Danio rerio: one gene and its partner. The protein of the gene in region 2 purifies or fractionates together with the protein of the main gene of each other region. This does not show direct contact. Links are inferred from orthologs where the notes say so. Each region holds a gene or a part of one and is shown on either strand. Other genes may lie near its edges. The genes, in order: daxx and dnmt1.

The links.
Region 1: the proteins of dnmt1 (region 2) and daxx purify together in Homo sapiens (affinity purification with western blotting; 4 studies listed by BioGRID, with this or other methods). This does not show direct contact. The link is inferred for Danio rerio from reciprocal best matches to the Homo sapiens genes DNMT1 and DAXX.

The regions. Positions count from the first base shown.
Region 1 is NC_133194.1:8,084,544-8,088,986, reverse strand, and holds the start of daxx (death domain-associated protein 6), read left to right. Parts: upstream 1-1,328; 5' UTR 1,329-1,330; coding exon of another isoform or gene 1,331-1,378; 5' UTR 1,379-1,394; exon of another isoform or gene 1,395-1,511; coding exon of another isoform or gene 1,512-1,586; intron 1,587-3,590; coding exon of another isoform or gene 3,591-3,659; intron 3,660-4,443. UniProt on the Homo sapiens protein: Transcription corepressor known to repress transcriptional potential of several sumoylated transcription factors. Down-regulates basal and activated transcription.
Region 2 is NC_133178.1:57,150,272-57,154,724, forward strand, and holds the start of dnmt1 (DNA (cytosine-5)-methyltransferase 1), read right to left. Parts: upstream 3,113-4,453; 5' UTR 2,966-3,112; coding exon 2,919-2,965; intron 2,325-2,918; coding exon 2,282-2,324; intron 1-2,281. UniProt on the Homo sapiens protein: Methylates CpG residues. Preferentially methylates hemimethylated DNA. Associates with DNA replication sites in S phase maintaining the methylation pattern in the newly synthesized strand, that is essential for epigenetic inheritance.

The DNA of each region.
Region 1 (4,443 bases), on a different chromosome or scaffold from region 2:
ATCTAGCATATGTTTTACACAGGGGATGCCCTTCTAGATGCAACCCAGTACTGGGAACCACCCATACACTTATTCACACACATACACTACAGCCAATTTAGTTTATTCAATTCACCTATAGCGAATGTCTTTGGACTATGTGAGAAACTGGAGCATGTTATCTTTGGAAATGTCAACTGACCCAGCTGGCACTCAACCTTCTTGCTGTGAGGCGACAGTGCTAAGCACTAGTGGTGTAAAGTAACTAACTACAAATACTCAAATTATTGTATTTGAGTATTTTTTCTCAGGAATTGTAATTTACTAAGTAGTTTTATAAATGTGTACTTTCACTTTCCCTTGAGTACATGTTTAGTGCTTTATCTGTACGTTTACGCCACCACTTTCCTTCAACCTGCAGTTACTACTTTATTTTTTCTTTGTCTTGTCTTTTATTGTCAAATTGCATATAGGAGGTACTTTTTACTCATACTTTAAGTAATATTTACAACAGCTATACTTTTACTCTACTTGCTCTACATTTTTAGGCAAGTAATGGTACTTTTACTTATGATTTTTCAGTACTCTTTCCACCACTCTGTGGTCACTGTGTCACCCTTGGGATTTTGTATTTTTATTTAATTTTGAAATGTATTTTAAATACATTTTTAAAAGGTTAATCTGTTGATTGTGCTTTTTATGATATGCTATTAAGGCCTACTTTATATAAAATAAATCTTTGAAAAACATTGCTCTATAAATTGATTAATTATTTCTAATTAATAATCAACTCATTATTAACCCTTTGATGCACTAAATGGGTCTAAAGTGACCTGTCTCTGCTTATTTTTTCTATATCTATTTTATAGCTTGTGCATCAAAGGGTTAATACAGTTAACAATTAATAATTCAGCTTATTTATTTAATTTGTTATTTTATTTAATTTTCTTCAAAATGTAGGCCTCTGGTCTGGTGTTTGGAAAAATAATAGAGATTTTTATTGCCTGTTTTCTTTATTTTCTTTTACTCTCAGGTAGCCAGCACATAATAATTGTAGAATTCAACCCTCACACTACTAGTGGCTCCCTGATAAGTATCAGTTTTGTTTCTGGAGAAGCAAAACACTAGATGAGCACCTGCTAGCGCTAAGAAATTAAATTTGCTTCATTACCACATCATGTTATTGTTATCTGAAGAACTGTACAATCAGTTTATTCTAGAGTCTCCAGTTCCCTACGAGGCGCTGATACGCATCTAAATGATTAGCGTAGCAAACAGATCGCAGAAGAAAAGCAAAGCATTCACCCAATCAGCGATCAGTATACTGACCGTCAGCGAACCAGCGCGCCGCATGTTGAGCTGTACAAAGATCCAGCGCCGAGTTTCAGGATCCGAGCGCGTAAGTTCGTGTTTTTTGTCTATTATTGATCGACTTCGAATAAGACTTTATTTTAAACATAATCACGAAGCGTTTGCGAAGGTTGTGAGGAAACTGACAAATATGAAATTACACCTTAGCTATCGTCGTTTTAATGCTTTTAACAAATAAACGGAAGGAGTCTGTATGGCATGTCCGAATTAAAGAGCTACAGTCTTCAAACCAAAAGGCAAAATAACTGAAATTATTACATTTATATTTATGTTAAGTGTAAACAGTGTGAAAATCTCATTGACACATCCAGTTAAATCTGGTTGATATGGTATTAAGTCAGTCAAAAGACATCATAAACATAGTTACCGCTCAAATTCACTCGTATTGTTATTGTGTTATAGGAGACGGATGTGGAGGCATATTATTGGATATAGATACATGTTATACGTCTTGTGTGGTTTTGTTTAATGTCTGATAATTCTTTTTATCAAGATGGTGACGAATCATAAGTACTAGTTAACCGAGTTTGTTGTGTGTGAATCATCATAGTTGTGTCACATTATCACATGATCGAAAGCTAGCAATATGAAGTAGCATTTGGCTACGATTTTAAGATTCCTGTCTTTAAAATTCTGGTTAGATATTTAATTATAGTATTTCGTTTAACTATGTAATGTTTTCTCTTCAATTCAGAAAAATAGGGACATTTTAAACGTGGCTTAGTATATCAGAACAACAACAACAACCAGAGAAACCCACATATCTGTCATAATTTACGTCAAATAAACTCTATTCCATAGATAAAGTGAACAGAGTGAATAATTTCACATTAAGTGTTTTCTCCCCTATTTAAGTCTGTTATGAGAAAAAAAGCCTAACTGCTTATTGTTAAGGAACATTAAGCCGTGTTAAGCTTATCTTATTCCTTACTTGGATTTCAATGGGGAGAAAACACTTAATGTGATATTGTTCACTTCATCTATGGAATTAGAGCTTGTTCATTTTACAGTAATTAATGTTAATTACAAATTTGACAGAAATTATATACAGTTTAAGTCAGAATTATTAGCCCCCCTAAATTATTAGTCCTCTGTTTATTTTTTTCCTCCAATTTCTGTTTAACAGAGAGCAGGTTTTTTCAACACATTTCTAATCATAATAGTTTTAATAACACATTTCTAATAACTGATTTATTTTATCTTTGCCATGATGACAGTAAATATTATTTGACTAGATAACTGCTTTTATGCTAGCCGAAATAAAACAAATAAGACTTTCTCCTGAAGAAAAAGTATTATCTGGCATACTGTGAAAATTTCCTTGCTCTGTTAAACATAATTTGGGAAATATATTAAAAAAAAAAAAAAAAAAAAAATATATATATATATATATATATATATATATATATATATATATATATATATATATATATATCAAAGGGGGGCTAATTATTCTGACCTCAGCTGTAGATGAAGTTTTTCTATTTCCACATTTGGACTTTCTCCTTAATATAATCTCATAAAAGTATTTGCAAATTCTAAATGGAGAAATTATATTAGCAGCCGATGACTATCAATGTAGAACATTGTTCACAGTCAATAAAATGGTGCTTATGTTGTTTTGAAGTCATACGTAAATGCAATTTCAGACCTAATATTAAAAGTAGTGTGGTAAACAATTTAGAGATCGTTAAATGAATGAATGTGCAAATATATCACCAGCTTTACCTCAATTTAAATAATGGTTACACACACGGCATTGTTGGTTTACAAAAAAAAATTAAGCAAATATAATCCTGTTGCACGTCTACATTTGATTTTGGTTTTATTGTAAAGCAAACTCAACCAGAAATCGTATTAAAGTAGAATCTGAGGTAATTTATGACATACTTCAAAAAGTAAAGATGATTTAGTGTTCAAAAATGTTTTATTTTGAATTTTTTATTTATTTTTTAATACATTGGTCTTATACAGTTCATGTTTTCAGATTTTTCATATTACAGTATATGTATTTATTCCAGGTACGTTTACTGTAAATAAACCAACATATTAACCATTTGGTAGAGGTTGATATTTTAGAAATTATGGGATGTGTTGACAAAAATTCATTAAACGTGTTAACTATCGACATTGGGAGTTAAGAAATGGAATTCCAAAACTATTCTTGGTTGGGGAGTTAAAGGGTTATGCGTTTAAGCGTTTGTCCCAAAAATGACATTGTTGATATTATTGTTTTCCAGGTAAATGCTGATTTTGAAACACCAGTTTGGATTTTGACTGTCTTGATCAATTCAATGCTCAGTGCTCAAGTATGTACAGACAAGCAGAATACATAAATATTAAATATTTAAAACGCATACCTATTGTGTTGATGTCATGATAGATAAACCATGCTCTTGGATATGCTGTTCTGTAAAATACACCCAAAAATATCACCTTGTCCCTTGTACATTTCTTACATCCTGCTAGTTTCAGTTTCACTTAAAAATTGATTTGACATTTAAATGTTGTTCATATTAAGGCCATATAACTCCTTTTCATTTTAACCTTTACATTCCTTTTTCATTGGAGTAAAGTGAAACTGTTACAAACTTTTGATTACTGAAAGCTTATTTGGCCATCAAAACTGAATATTTTTTTTTAAAGGAAAAAAAACATTGCCCAGAAATCCCCTATTTTATAACTCAAAATGTCTTTTTTCCCATTTTAATTTAAAAACGTTTTCAGTTTTAATGGTTGAATTACATTTTAGTAATTAAAAAGATACATTTCGATGAACAGGACAAGCTTTTTGCTGTTACAAATATATATTAATACAATTATATTATACAATTTCATATTTAGGTAATCTGAAATATTCTTCATTTTTAAAAATCATTTTAAGATTAAAACATGAATAAAATGTTGTGTAATTATTTTTATTTTTATATATAGTTATGATTAGGGCTGAAGAATATATTGTTTCAGCATCAGTATTGCAATGTATGAATCTGCAATAGTCACATCGCAGGATCTCCAATGTTGAGTTGAGATTTTAATTGTGGAGTATAATTAATTGTGAATAAAACTAAACCCTAACTGTGAAAGATTGTT
Region 2 (4,453 bases):
AGAAAGCAGAGTTCACCGAATAACTCAACTGTAAGACTTGCAATATTTAGCATGTACTTCACCTATGCCACAAGGGTTGTACCCCAAATTAAAGACTGAAACCACCTTTTTGTCATTAAGCATCAATCCGAGAGTAGGGATGCAATGATAACCGATTTCACTATCAACCGCGGTTTAATTCGTCACTGTTAATTAATCGTAAATGCTTCTCAACACAGAGTTTCTCCATGGAACAAAACTGCTGCAACTAAAAATTATACTAACAGTGCGCTAGTTTAAAGTTCAAGCTTGTACACAAAACGCACGCATACTGGATCAAAGGCTAATTTTCACCATGGCTGAGGAGGATTTTAACTAAGGGCCATTCACATATGCCATCTTTTACATGCACAATTTCCAATAGAGGCACATGGTTTCAGAGCATAACAACACTACTCCCTGACCCGTGGAAAAACCCGAGCACTTCTTCAGAGAGAGTGGGTTATGGACAGTTGCAACACCTCTATTAGTTTATAGGAGTGTTTAATTCCTTCTGGACCCTACTTCAAATGTATTTTGGGCTCATGCAAACCAACAAATATGTTAAAGAAATATTTCACCCAAAAAATGTAAATCACTCCATCATTTACTCACTCCTTAAGCCATACATTCTGCATACGACTCTGACAGTCATGCATAATGTGCATTGTCACCAACACTTGAAGTTGTTAAAAAAATAAGAAATTGTCCCAAGACAAGAGTGGTTATCAGGACAACAGTTTTGGTACAAATTTGAAAGGTTTTTATCCAAAAATCTGTACACTGAGGATGGTGTGAGGGGGAGCAAGTCATGTGTTGATACTTTTTTTGGGTTAACTATTACTTTAAGGGTCTTAAGTTTTTCTTTCTCACCTCTCGCATGTGATCTCACCTGGGTAGATCAAACACTCCGATGTACAGTTCACAACACGCATGATTAATTTTTCCTTGATTTGAATGAGGCAAAAGGCGTTTCCTTCAGCAATCGTTAAAACTTTAGGATTAATCTACATGTATGAAAGCATTTAGGCTTTCCTGTAAATATGACAAACGGGGTAAGTTATTCAGGATGTGGTGAGTTTTCATAGGTTACTAAAAGGCGTTTTCACGTTAAAAGTCTGCTGATCATGATATAGCGATTTTAAGTTGCGTAACGGTTCATTGAAATAATCTGGCAGTGGCTGTTGCTGATTCAACTGGTTTGTTATTTCACACAGCAAATCCAATGACGCAAGTACTGATGATTCTCTCCAGCCAATGAGAGAGCTGCAGTTTTCACATGTCACATTTTGGGTAACAAAATGGCCTACTTGCATCCTTAACTAAGGTGCTAGTAAAATGTGTGACGTACAAATGGCACCATTTTATTATGCATTTTATGTCTTCAAAGTGAATATTTCCTCTTGTTAACTCTTTAACTGCCTGCTTTACCAAATGGTTGACCATATTTTGACATATTTGTTTTAAATAATGACTGTTAAAGTTATTTAAAGAATTGTTTTAAATAATAAAATAATGGTTTACGCACAGCATTGCTGGTTTACAAAACAAAATAATCAATCCTGTTGCAATAATACACTATTTTATTGTAGAAAAAAAAAACAACAACAACAACAACAACAACTAAAAACACATTAAATGAGAATCTGAAATAGTTTATGGCATCCTTCTAAAAAGTAATTTAGTATTCAAAGTTTTATTTTGACTGTTTTTAAATAAAATGGTCTTGCACCATGTTTTCTAATTATTTTTTTTAAATAGTATTTCATGTAATTATTCCGATAGTTTTACCATAAACTGACATTAACCATTTGGTAGAGGTTGATGTTTTCGAAATTATGGGATGTGTTGAAAGATAGGACTGTGTTTGTCTACTAGCGACATTGGGAGATAAGAAATGCAATAAAAAAAAAAATCTTGGTGAGGCAATTAAAAAAAAAAAAGCACTCTCAGAACTTTCAGTGAAGGCATTAGTCTTACTACTTGAACAAAATAGCCTTGAAAAAGAGCACAAGTATACAAACTGAAACTCTTATTAATGATTCATGTTGTAAACTGTATATCAAAAGCCTCTTTACAAAACTGTTTATACAGTTTAAAAGGCCAACAGTTTAAGAAAGCCTTTTGCCAGATGCACAACAACTACACGGTTAAACTGTACATTCTGAATGAAAGGGATTGTGTTATTTTGTGTTAGTGTGGACATGCAATAAGTAACCACCTAATTTCATTTGAACTCATACGCAGTAACGTAAATGTTTACCTCATCTGACAAACTGTCTCCACCTTCATCCAACACCTGAAGCCTAGAAAAATAAACAAACATCCAATTAGCATTGCACAATCACCACTTCAAGTATAAATAACATTTAATAAACGTTGATAAATCCAAAATTTATTGAACTGGACGCATTCATCTCAACACATTGTTGGACAACGCGAGTAAACAAACACGCATGGACAGACCAGATTCACGAAAACCACTTCAGATAATCGTGTCTTTAAGAAAGTACACAGAATTCATTAGTATTTCGTGGGTATAACTGTAATGACTCGTGCAGTGATTGAGCAGAGGGAGACAGGAGGCGGGCAGGGCTTCACTAGGACACATGTGTATTTGGCGCCAAATGCAGTCATACTGACACCTGCGAGGCTGTTCGCATCAAAACAATCGCCTGTTTTACCCACGAAACGCGAGCTGGTGGCGGGCAGAACGTTCGTAGCCTGGCTAAATGCTAACAATAATAAAAACACAGCATCTCTTTTCGCTTAAAAATGGCACACATAAACAACCGAACTGCCGTTTTGTGACGTGATCAGTCTGCAGCGCGAAGCGTGTAAAGCCCGCGAATGAGCAAACGACCATCACAGTGGCATTAAAAGCAAATACAGCACCATACCGTTCTTTGACATCCTCTGGCAGAGACAATGAGGTCTTGGTAGGCATTTCAAGTTCGATTTTGATCAAAGGAATTGACTACTTAAAAACACGATTTAAAACAACAACAGATAAAAGCGGGTATTAATATGTGACAGTGCCAACTGCAGCGCGCGCTGGAGAGGCTCAACGGGCTTTATGAATTGTCGCTAGCAGCTGAGAAATACGCGCGGGCCGCCTTTTCGCGCGGAAACGCGGGTGAGTCGGACGCTACCATTCATTTAAAGCACGGGGATGGACGGTGTCAAAGAAGTTGTGCGTTTGTGTTTCGTTTTAAAATAAATCAGTGAGAGTGTTGTGAGTGTATCTGGGTCTAATTCGGTTTATTAAATGTATACGTTAAGGGTAAAGGAATAACAAATATTAAGCTCATTTCAAGGTTTATTTTCATGTTCACCCCTTAGGAGATTCAACCATTACGGGATGTACCACATTTGCTTTGCCTCAGGGGTGCATATTTGCCCATGAATTTCATTACCTCCTTTTTTTTATTTTTTTAAAGCACATAAAGTAGTGTTGACATGTATACAATTAACAAAAGATCAACAATTAACGTTGTTAACTGAAAGATAACTTCGAAAAGAGAAAGAAAAATAAAAGATATGAATTCATTAACGCTTCCTGTTGAAATATTTAGCTCCTCCTGCGAGTCTGCGACAACAAAACTGTGACATAGTTCAAAATAAGTTAATACATTTATTTATGCAATAGAGACACTTAAACAACAACAACGAATGATAAATAAATGCAGTAAACAGGCATGTCAAATAGAAAAAATATCCTAATGGTCTACTTTGAATGCTTTATATGACTTAAACGAAATTTTTATTTTAGACTAGTCACACCTTTTCTGTCACCACCCATATCTTTCTTTAGGCCAAACAGGGGCCTGTACCATGAAGCCAGATTAGCTGGCTAGCTAGTTAAGTTTCAGTTCTACTTACAATTATAGAATATTATAATAGAATATTTCCCTATTCCTGTAAAAAGAAAAGAGATTTTCTAAGGCGGACACTATTGAAGTAAGAAATAGATACCTGTCACTTCCCTTGTTACCTAAAATGAAAGAAGAACACTTCAAAACAATTAATGGCATTTATCCATGTAATGAGTTTTCTAGAATTCTAGACAGTAATGCTTGCATTTTCCGCTTGAAAGTGTGTGTGTGTGTGTGTGTGTGTGTGTGTATATATATATATATATATATATATATATATATATATATATATATATATATATATATATATATATATATATATATATATATGTATGTATGTATGTATGTATGTATGTATGTGTATATATATATATATATATATATATATATATATATATATATATACAGTTGTACTATTTTAAAATCCTTTTGGGACAGATTATATAGGGGGTCGATAACAAAAAAAATGTAATACCTGTTTTTGGCTATCACATTGTGAAATTTGATATTTTTATGAAAAACAAAGAAATTAAATTTTTGTGCAATTATATGTTGATTGT